Drosophila melanogaster: one gene and its partner. The gene in region 1 interacts genetically with each later gene. Each region holds a gene or a part of one and is shown on either strand. Other genes may lie near its edges. The genes, in order: Vml and pip.

Region 1 (4,431 bases):
TCGCGGGCGTCTTGCGCTTGGACTCGCGATTCAGGGCGATTTCCATAGGCACTCCAGGCGACACAACGCCCACTTTCATCCACTCGCTGCCCAGATCCACGGACATCACGGCGGCTCCCTGGGAAAGGGCAATCCCCGCCAGCAGGGCGCTCAAAAGGAGCACGAGTTTCATGGTCTGTGCGGTTGAAAGGTGTTCAAATTAAAGCATTGTGCACAGGATTAGATACCCCATTAAGTACTCCATATGTATTTACCCTCTGCATTGTAAGATCTTTCTAGAAAGACCAACGATTTAACTTAAAAGGCTAACATTATACAAAAATTCACCAACTACTTTTACCTATATTTCTTAGCTGCATTAATAACACAAGAATTAGTTGGGTTTTCAACAGTTTTAACAGATAATTTGTGGGACGAAAAGTACGTCTGGCTTATGCGAGGAAACCTGTGTTCATGTGGCAGCGGAAATAGTGTTTAACTCGTACATAGATCTATATAGTTTACCGGTGAAATTACTGGGGAGAAATGGCTTTTAAAAAGTCTTCACGGAAAATCAGTGAAGAGAGCATTAACCTTTTACTTCCACAATTCTTCCGCGATTCTTTCACTTCTTTTTTTTTGCAACGCAAGCAGCTGTCTGCGCCCCGTCACCCTCCCTCTGCCTATCCTAACTCTTCCATCCTTCCAGCCAAGTACCGCTTTCCACTTACGTGTCCCGTTTCGTTCGTCGCTTCCAGCTGTCCTTTGCCACTCGCACTCTCCAATCGACTTTTATTCAGAAGTCACCTATTTATTAATTATTCAATTCACAACGTCGACTGCTATTCGAGTTGTTAAGTAAAAAACAGAGTCGCCGCGATTAAGAAGAACAAGCAGCGGCACACGAAGAAGAAGAGGAAAACGTTGACGTGTTGATTCGACCGGGCGATAGCAATCGATAAAACAATCGAGAGACTGTCACTTGGGAAGGCAGGCGCTGCCACATCGCACTGAAGTGACCGCCACAATTTAAATACTTATTGTGTGCAATTAAATTCTTTTTGTACAAAATTTCGTGATTAATTGCAAAACACCAAATGAAAACCATACACTAAATGATTATGACCCTTACTTGGTTTAAGGTCAATGTAAGAGCAGGAAGATTTTTCCTACTCATTGAAAATCTGAAGTTATAACATATGTAGTTGGCAATTCCAAGTTTTTTTCTTTCAGGCAGCAAGTCAACCCACATATTGATAGCTCAGCATTCCCGCGATGACCGAATTTTTGAACGAAAGTGCTGACACGTTATTAAACTATACTTTGTATACTCTTTTTCTTGAGATTATTGACACGATGAGTAAGTTATATTACAATTCGATAGAATAAAAATTAACTAAAATTAAATCACCTAACACGCTTAACGTTAAATTTGTTGTAATGCGAATTGTCCTGAAAAAATTACAAAACCCAAACTAGATAACAATTCTTTTTTTCAACAATTATCTTTAAATTAAAATTGAATAGGTTCCAACTTCCAAACGTATAGGGTATTGAAAGAGTTAAATTAAGTTTTCTGCTCGCATCGCCAACTCACCTATTCACGTTAAAAAGAAATAGGTGACTGGAAAACGATCGAATCTAGCGAATTTAAATGGAATCGCTTCAAATGCAGAATAGCACAAAGTGAACCCACCGAGTATCCAAGCACAGCAGACTGCAATTGGGCAATATTCTTGGTGAATTTGTAAATTTCGCTGATCTGTTTTTCTCTTGGCCATATAAAACCCGTCCCGTTTCAAAAAACCATAGTCTTAATTCTGTGAGCTATGTGTGGACGACGACTGCTGTTCTTGGCGGCCTTTGGCTGCCTTTTGGCCAACGCGTTTTCGCTTCCGGCGACCAGGAATGAGGAGTTCGACGACGGTTTCCCCGAATCCGAGTTCGACTACGAGGAGAGGCACACTAGGGAAATTCCGGCACAGGCCTATGCCCCACCGATCGTTTACAATTCGCAGTCAAGCTACTCGCCGGCGAAGGACCAAGGATATTCTGCTCCTGCCGCCCCGGTTTATTCGCCTGCCGCACCATCGTATTCAGCGCCTGCTGCTCCGTCGTATTCGGCACCCGCTGCACCCAGCTATTCAGCACCAGCAGCACCCAGCTATTCAGCACCTGCTGCTCCATCGTATTCAGCGCCTGCAGCACCCAGCTATTCAGCACCTGCATCCTCCAGCTATTCAGCGCCTGCTGCTCCGTCGTATTCGGCACCCGCTGCACCCAGCTATTCAGCGCCTGCAGCACCCAGCTATTCAGCACCTGCATCCTCCAGCTATTCAGCGCCTGCTGCTCCGTCGTATTCGGCACCCGCTGCACCCAGCTACTCAGCGCCTGCGGCACCCAGCTATTCAGCACCAGCAGCACCCAGCTATTCAGCACCTGCTGCTCCATCGTATTCAGCACCCGCAGCACCCAGCTACTCTGCGCCTTCTGCCCCATCGTATTCAGCGCAAAAGACATCCTCGTACTCGGCTCCTGCCGCCCCAAGCTACCATGCTCCGGCAGCTCCAGCATCGTCGTATTCAGCACCGGCTGGTCCTTCATATTCGGCTCCTGCTGCACCCTCATATTCAGCTCCATCTTACTCAGCGCCTGCCTCAAGTTATTCGGCACTCAAGGCTCCATCTTATTCAGCTCCAGCCGCTCCATCTTACTCCGCACCTGCAGCTCCCTCATATTCCTCTTCTGCTTCTCCTTCATATTCATCGCCTGCATCGTCATCTTATTCAGCGCCAGCTGCTCCGACTTACTCAGCCCCTAAGGCTCAGTCGTACTCCGCTCCAGCCGCTCCATCTTACTCAGCTCCTGCTGCTCCATCTTACTCAGCTCCTGCATCTTCATCTTATTCGGCACCTGCTGCTCCATCTTACTCAGCTCCGGCTGCTCCATCTTACTCAGCTCCTGCTGCTCCATCTTACTCAGCTCCAGCATCTTCATCTTATTCGGCACCTGCTGCTCCATCTTACTCAGCTCCTGCTGCTCCATCTTACTCAGCTCCTGCATCTTCATCTTATTCGGCACCTGCTGCTCCATCTTACTCAGCTCCGGCTGCTCCATCTTACTCAGCTCCTGCTGCTCCATCTTACTCAGCTCCTGCCGCTCCATCGTATTCAGCACCTGCATCATCTGGATATTCAGCAGCGCGAGCGTATTCAGCGGGCTCTGCAGCACCAGCTTCTGGCTATTCAGCGCCAAAGACTTCTTCCGGTTACTCAGCGCCTGCTTCGTCTGGATCACCAGCTGCTTCATCGTACTCAGCTCCTGCATCCTCGACCGCATCCTCTGGCTATTCAGCGCCCGCGTCGAAGTCATCGGGTTACGCTCGCTCCGAAATGGATCATCAGATCCTTGGTATGGCGAGGACCGCTGGCGGCTACGGATCAGCCGCTCCTTCTGCAGCTTATGGTGCAGCCTCTCTCCCCTCACCGCCGTGTCCCAAAAACTATGTGTTCAGCTGCTCGAGCGTTTTTACTCCAGCACCGTGCAGTCAGGGATATGGTTACTGAATGCAAATCCAAAGCTCCTGGCCAAACTGACTTGAAAACGAGATTAATAAAAAGCGAATTATGTGTGAAACGAATTGAGTTTACCTTTTTATGCCAAACAACTTAGGTCACAGAGATATTTCGACCCACGCAGTCCATTGAGATATGCAAGCTTTTGATCCCGAAAACAGCTTAAAGGTATTAAAAACCCGTGTTTGATTGACCGTTGAAGTTTCAAATCGACTTGGAATGGCGTTTTCTTTTCTTTTTTTCTTTTTTCTTTTGAGTTCTATATCCCAGTTTTATATATTCTTTAGTGAAATACAGGAACAAATCGTTAATGCTTTTCTTAGAATTTATTTGCAAATTGTTCACTTATGATGACCATCGCTAATGAATTATCACACTAAAAGCAACTCATAATAAATACAATACGTACATCTAGGCTCTGTATAATTAGATCATATGTTTGTCATTTGTCATTCAAATACAATTTTACTTGTCCTCACATTGTGAGTGGTAATTTCTCTGTTGCGGTCTATATATTCCATTAAAAAGCACTTATGTATCCTTAACTCCTCTACATGTATGTATATACTAAATATATGTATATATATATATATATATATATATAGAAACTCTATGAAGTTAAATCATTTGGAACATTCAAATCAAAAACGAAAGTGGAAAGCGGTGTTTTCCAACTTGCCGACTACACGATTCATTGATCGGAAATCAAGCTTATATAGAGTTGTATATATGTATGTATGTATGCATGTATGCATGTATGTATGTGTATGTGCTAAAGAGACTGGTCCATAGAGTAAGAGGTATTATTCAGTTGGCAAATCATAAGTGGCCCATTTTGAGTACCTCAAAAGTTCCTTCCTGTTCCCCCAATTCTTTC
Region 2 (5,158 bases), on another chromosome or scaffold:
TAAAATTTAGCACATATATATGTTTTTGTTAATAATTATTTTTTAATTTGCCACCCGCCGCAGACAGACAGCAATAATTAACTTTCCCGCGGGCCACCGGCAGCGTGTAAAATTCCCAATATGCATCATTTCCATTGCAGAAAGACAGGCAAAATAAAACAAAACGGCATGCAAAACTCGAAAGAAAATGAAGAAAAGAAAAACAAATCACATCACTGAATATAATTACCAAAGAGTAAGTGACTGCATGTCGTGGCGCCCAGAGAAAGAAAGAAACTGGCAAGAAAGAGAAGAATTGCTGAGAAAGGCGCACAGAAGAAAGACTTGAAGACTTGTAGACTCGGCAGCGAAGAGCCAGCTACAGTCTTTTCAAGCGCGGCTTGAGTCTTCGCCCTCTTTCTTTTGGGGCGTTCTAAATAATTTCTGTCACGCTTCGGCTTGCAGTGAAAATAAGAGTGAGTTTTGTTTTTTGTATTAGGTAAACCCTAATCCAAATGGAAAGCAAATCAGAAACGTAATTTATGCTAATTCGAAAGAAATTATTGCATAACTGCACTTCATTCCACTCATTGAGCGTATAATTGTCTTTTTTGACTTTTCAAATCGATTCGAATCGATTCCGACTGATTTTTCTCAACTGGGTGCAACGAACTCATTTTCTACGTATGCTCATTTATCGCGTGTCCGGATAATGAAGCTGCCAAACATCTGTCGCCGAGTTATTTAAGCAAAACCAATTAATTTCATTAATTAATATCAATTTGAGAGCGTACAAAAGAATTGTGCAAATAACGACGTAAGTGTACGCAGCAATATGGCTGGGAATTTATGTATTTATGTTTCTCTGCAGGACAATTCGTATCTGTTGTGATAAATCATATCCATATTCAAATATTTGCACTATTTTGTTGTGCAAATGGCAAGATTACTCGTTTCACTAAGTCGCCTGGCCATCGGAAATGGATAAAAAATAAATGTTTACCTGATTGATTGGCAGACTGACTGAGTGGCCAACTGATTGACTGAGAGTTTGCAGCTGCATGAAATTGTCAAAATGAGCGTAAAATTTATGCTCCAGCCAGCGGTAACCACAGAAAGTATCACACATATCTACATTTAAGCCATGTGTTTAATTAATGCCAGTAATTCATACATTTAATGTAATAATTTGTTCTGCAAATAAACGGGAAATGGGCCTCGCTTCGCGAAAATTAACGAGGGCTTTATAGGAAAAAAGGATATCTAGCAGGGACTCAATAAGTGGGAAAATGTTTAAATAAAATATAAAACATATGTATGTCGTTGATCCAATTTGCCATTAGCTTGAGCTAAGATCTCACAGTTATACGCAAATAGCTGTGAGCCATGACTTCACCACGTTTTGCCTTAATGAAAAGCAAATTCTCACACCCTTTTAAAAAGTCAACAAAAACGGTAAGAAATAGTTTCCCAAAAGCCAATTAGCCCATAACATGTGTAGTCGGTATATCATTAGTTTACATCTCGACGCACTCGTTGCAACAAATTTGGCCATACAAACGGAAAAAAGAGCGAATCTTTCACAATAGCGGACGCAGTGGCTCAGTTCTCTGGCCTAAACACCTTTTAATAGCCAAAATTGTTATGGGCGGCCGCAGAAACCGCCGGCCGTCGACCATCGACCATCGACTAATGAGCGGGCAGTCAAGTTGGGGGGCTCTTAACTTTTATCTGAGCTGACTTGGCCCGAACTGAGCCGAGTTGGGTTCTGTAAAAGGCCAGAACAAACACCGAAAAATGCAGGCCCACACAATGCAGTGGTAGGATGGTGGTAAGACACGGCTCTTTTGGCTACTTGAAATAGTTGAAGTGAGCTCGGCTTTTGTGGTTTTCCTCCTCTTCATCTGCCGCCCCGAGGTGCTACACCAAATGAATTATGAGAAGAATTGAAAATGAAAAACGCAATAAAAAATAGAAACAAGATTGTAGCTTTTAACTGGAGCAGAGATTGAAAAAACGACAGACGCAAGTGCACAGAGAAAAGTTTATGAAACATTTAAAATTAAATGTTGAAGTACAGTGTTTACAAAGCTTTAATACTTGCTTTTAATAAGTCTTCAAAATATAAGAAAACATTTTCAAAGTATAAATAATAAATACAAAAAAAATAAAAGGATAAATAATAGACCCCTTTTTGTATATATAAATTTTTGAAAATATTTTCAATTGATACAGTACTTGGAAGCTCATATCAGCATTCGTAACAATTTTTCATAGCTTAATTAAAAGTACTCAATCAATTTTTTAAAATAAAGTTCTTAAAGCTCGTCGATCTACATAAACCCATCTAAGTCGATGAGATTCATATTAAATTTAAGATCAAAAATATCTATTTCTTCTAGTGTAGCTGCAATTAATTTACTGGCTGGCACTACTTAAAGTCCGTCAAGAATGTTCGAACTGCTCTGGCCAGCAATTGGAGTTTTTATTTAATTTTATTTATCAAATACAACGACCCTGAAACACTATCACTTTTAGCCAGATGCGAAAAACGGAAAGTTAAGCGCTTTTTATGGAGAATCGAGAGCAGAGTATTTTTAATCTTTAGCGCTGCGGCAAACGCAATCTTCGATCTACCAACTCGATTTCGATTCTCTGGCCATTCAATGGCAATTATGACCGGTTTTCAATTTAACTGAAACTGGAACTCAATTGCATTTCCCCTTTGAAACGAACACCGTTCTCGAGTGAAAGAAATCTTTTCTCCGCCGCCTTTTTCTCGGCTGAAGACCACACTTACCGCTTGGGATACGGTATGCGCCGGTATTTGAAGGCATTTTCCACATCGCGCAGTTTCATTTTGTACGATCGCTCGGCGTTCAGAGACATCCAATGTCAATTACACAAAAAACACAATCGCTTGAGATCTTAGTTCTCGAAGACCTTTCTTGGCCGAAAGAATTTTCCGGTCGGCACTTGGGTTCACTTGAGTTCCGATTCACGATTCGAAGACTTAGAGATATAGACGTCCGTAGAGCTCGGCGATCGCGGCTTGACTGAATGTTCCTGGGGGCACTTGGCCGCCTTTTTGGCCAACTTTAAGACGTTGGCAGCGGCGGCTTACCACTGTTTGCTTTTACCATTTTCTTCGACTCTCTTTGGCTCTGTTTATTCGCTCTTTTGATCGCTCTTTGTTCGCTGGCTGACTGATTTCGTGGGGACGTGACTGTAGCCCATTTGTCTGTGGCAACATTTTTATTATTACCCCACATCTGACATTAATCTACTTAGACATATTTATTTAGGTCGTCCAAACAGCGAAGTGTCTTTATTCTCTGCGCAAGGAATCGAATTTCGGGCACTTGTTTCAATATCCTTTATTGGATCAGCTGGTTTACCGACCTTAATGGTAATTTGTTCGGTTGAATAGAACATATTGCGTGTGATCCAAACCACGTTGGCAAAAATAAGAACTTTAGTTTTTTCTATTTCTTCATAGAGGAAGGGAGAATTAGAATTAAAAACAGGTTTACCTTTGAACCCATCCCCCCCAATGGACAGTCGAAAAGTTGACCTTCCCGCTTTTGTAATTTCCATCGATTAGTTTTGGCCATTCGTACATATATAAGCGATTCTTCTCGATGTCTGTCTTCTCGCCTCGTTCGTTAGCCAAACTTCGGGATCTAAGCTTAATTTTTGCCAAACTCAAATCTATAGTTTCTACAAGAGTTGGATTCCGCGATCTCCCCACTTGCTGTCCACAAAGCTAAGCTCATTGACCCTTATTCAACAGTTGACTCTTATGGCACAGTGCCTCAAAGAAATCTTTTTTCCGATTAAATTAGAACATTTAAAAATTAAATTGAGGTACGAATTTTTAATTTACGAGAATTAATACTAGATTTCAATATATTTATACCTTTACTCTTTTATTTAAGTGTGTCTTATCATATATTACTTTAAATTATCTTTTTCAGGTACCTTAACTTTTAACTCTCACTGTAACTGACTTGTCCACTAACTGGCGTCAGACGGCTGTCGAATTTAAGCGTTTACCCATAACTATCTGCATAGGTCCACATTTTTAGGACCGACAAAAAACTGATTGTTTAGTCTTATTAAACTTTTTTTATTTCAGCAACAAGTTGAAAATTCGTGTAAATTTCTCGATAACAATTGCAAAAAAATGGAAAAACGCCAGCCTCAACATAAAAACAGCCAAAACATAAAAGTAAAATTAAAACGAAATGCGTTGGCGGCACATGTCTTGTGTTTATCTGGTAATAATTAAAGGTATTTCAGCATTTGGTACCAAGAAAGTGAGTAGCTAAAAACTTGTAAAGTTGCTGCCTATTGCATTGATGACTGTCCAAATCGACTGAGATAATTGAGCTATCTGAATGATCAGACTCTTTCTCCGATTTCGAAACTTAAAAGCCGACGAGTTGTTAGGCTGTCGGTTTTCGGGTTAAGTTTATCAGCTGTCCAATTGTGGTCGCTCACAATATGTTGGCTATATCTTCGGTCCGATGCCATGGTTTTTTGCTGCCAACTGTCCCTTTGTGGCTGTGCCGATTGCGCTGAGCTGGCCAACTCGATTGTAAACAACTGCAATTGGCCCTAGGTGCAAACACAAATAGCTGATTGTGTGAGTTTGTGGCAGGTGTGCGTATATATTATATTTGGCCAATACTCGGCAGTGTATTTTATGCAGCGAGGTTTTCCATGTTAATTGGTTGGCATGTTTAATACATCCGCTTAAATATATAAAAGAAATTTAAAATCGTATTCGGTAAATAAATTTATTATTTACACAAATTCTAAATTAATATATTATATGTATATGTTATATGTAAGTGCGTACGATAAATAAATAATTTCATCAATTTGCATTAATCTAGAGTGAATACTTTTAGTAGATATATGTATTATATGTATATTAATGACCACGGCATAAAAAGAACTGCAAAATTATTAACTTTAATAGCCAGATATTTAAATGTGTTAATAATAAATAAAAGCAACAAACATACTAGTGATTAGTTTGATAAGCTGTAATACAATAATAACAAAATACATTCAAGGTAGATCCCTCCATTAAATTTGATTATGCTTTGTTATTCAATTTTTTGAGTATCTACCTTGATATTCAAACTTACTGCAAAAACTGCTTTACCAC

What was found.
Region 2: of Vml (region 1) and pip, changing one enhances a phenotype caused by changing the other (phenotypic enhancement), as found in Drosophila melanogaster (one study listed by BioGRID).

What each region holds. Positions count from the first base shown.
Region 1 is NC_004354.4:2,274,165-2,278,595, forward strand, and holds Vml (vitelline membrane-like), read left to right. Parts: upstream 1-1,657; 5' UTR 1,658-1,808; coding exon 1,809-3,545; 3' UTR 3,546-3,617; downstream 3,618-4,431. Other genes in the region: Grp170 co-chaperone, read right to left, coding at 1-172. UniProt on the Drosophila melanogaster protein: Major early eggshell protein secreted by folicle cells into the perivitelline space and incorporated into the vitelline membrane. Localized sulfation by pip may be involved in embryo dorsal-ventral axis determination.
Region 2 is NT_037436.4:19,334,563-19,339,720, forward strand, and holds the start of pip (pipe), read right to left. Parts: upstream 3,048-5,158; 5' UTR 2,869-3,047; coding exon 2,780-2,868; intron 1-2,779. UniProt on the Drosophila melanogaster protein: Sulfotransferase involved in dorsoventral axis patterning in early embryos.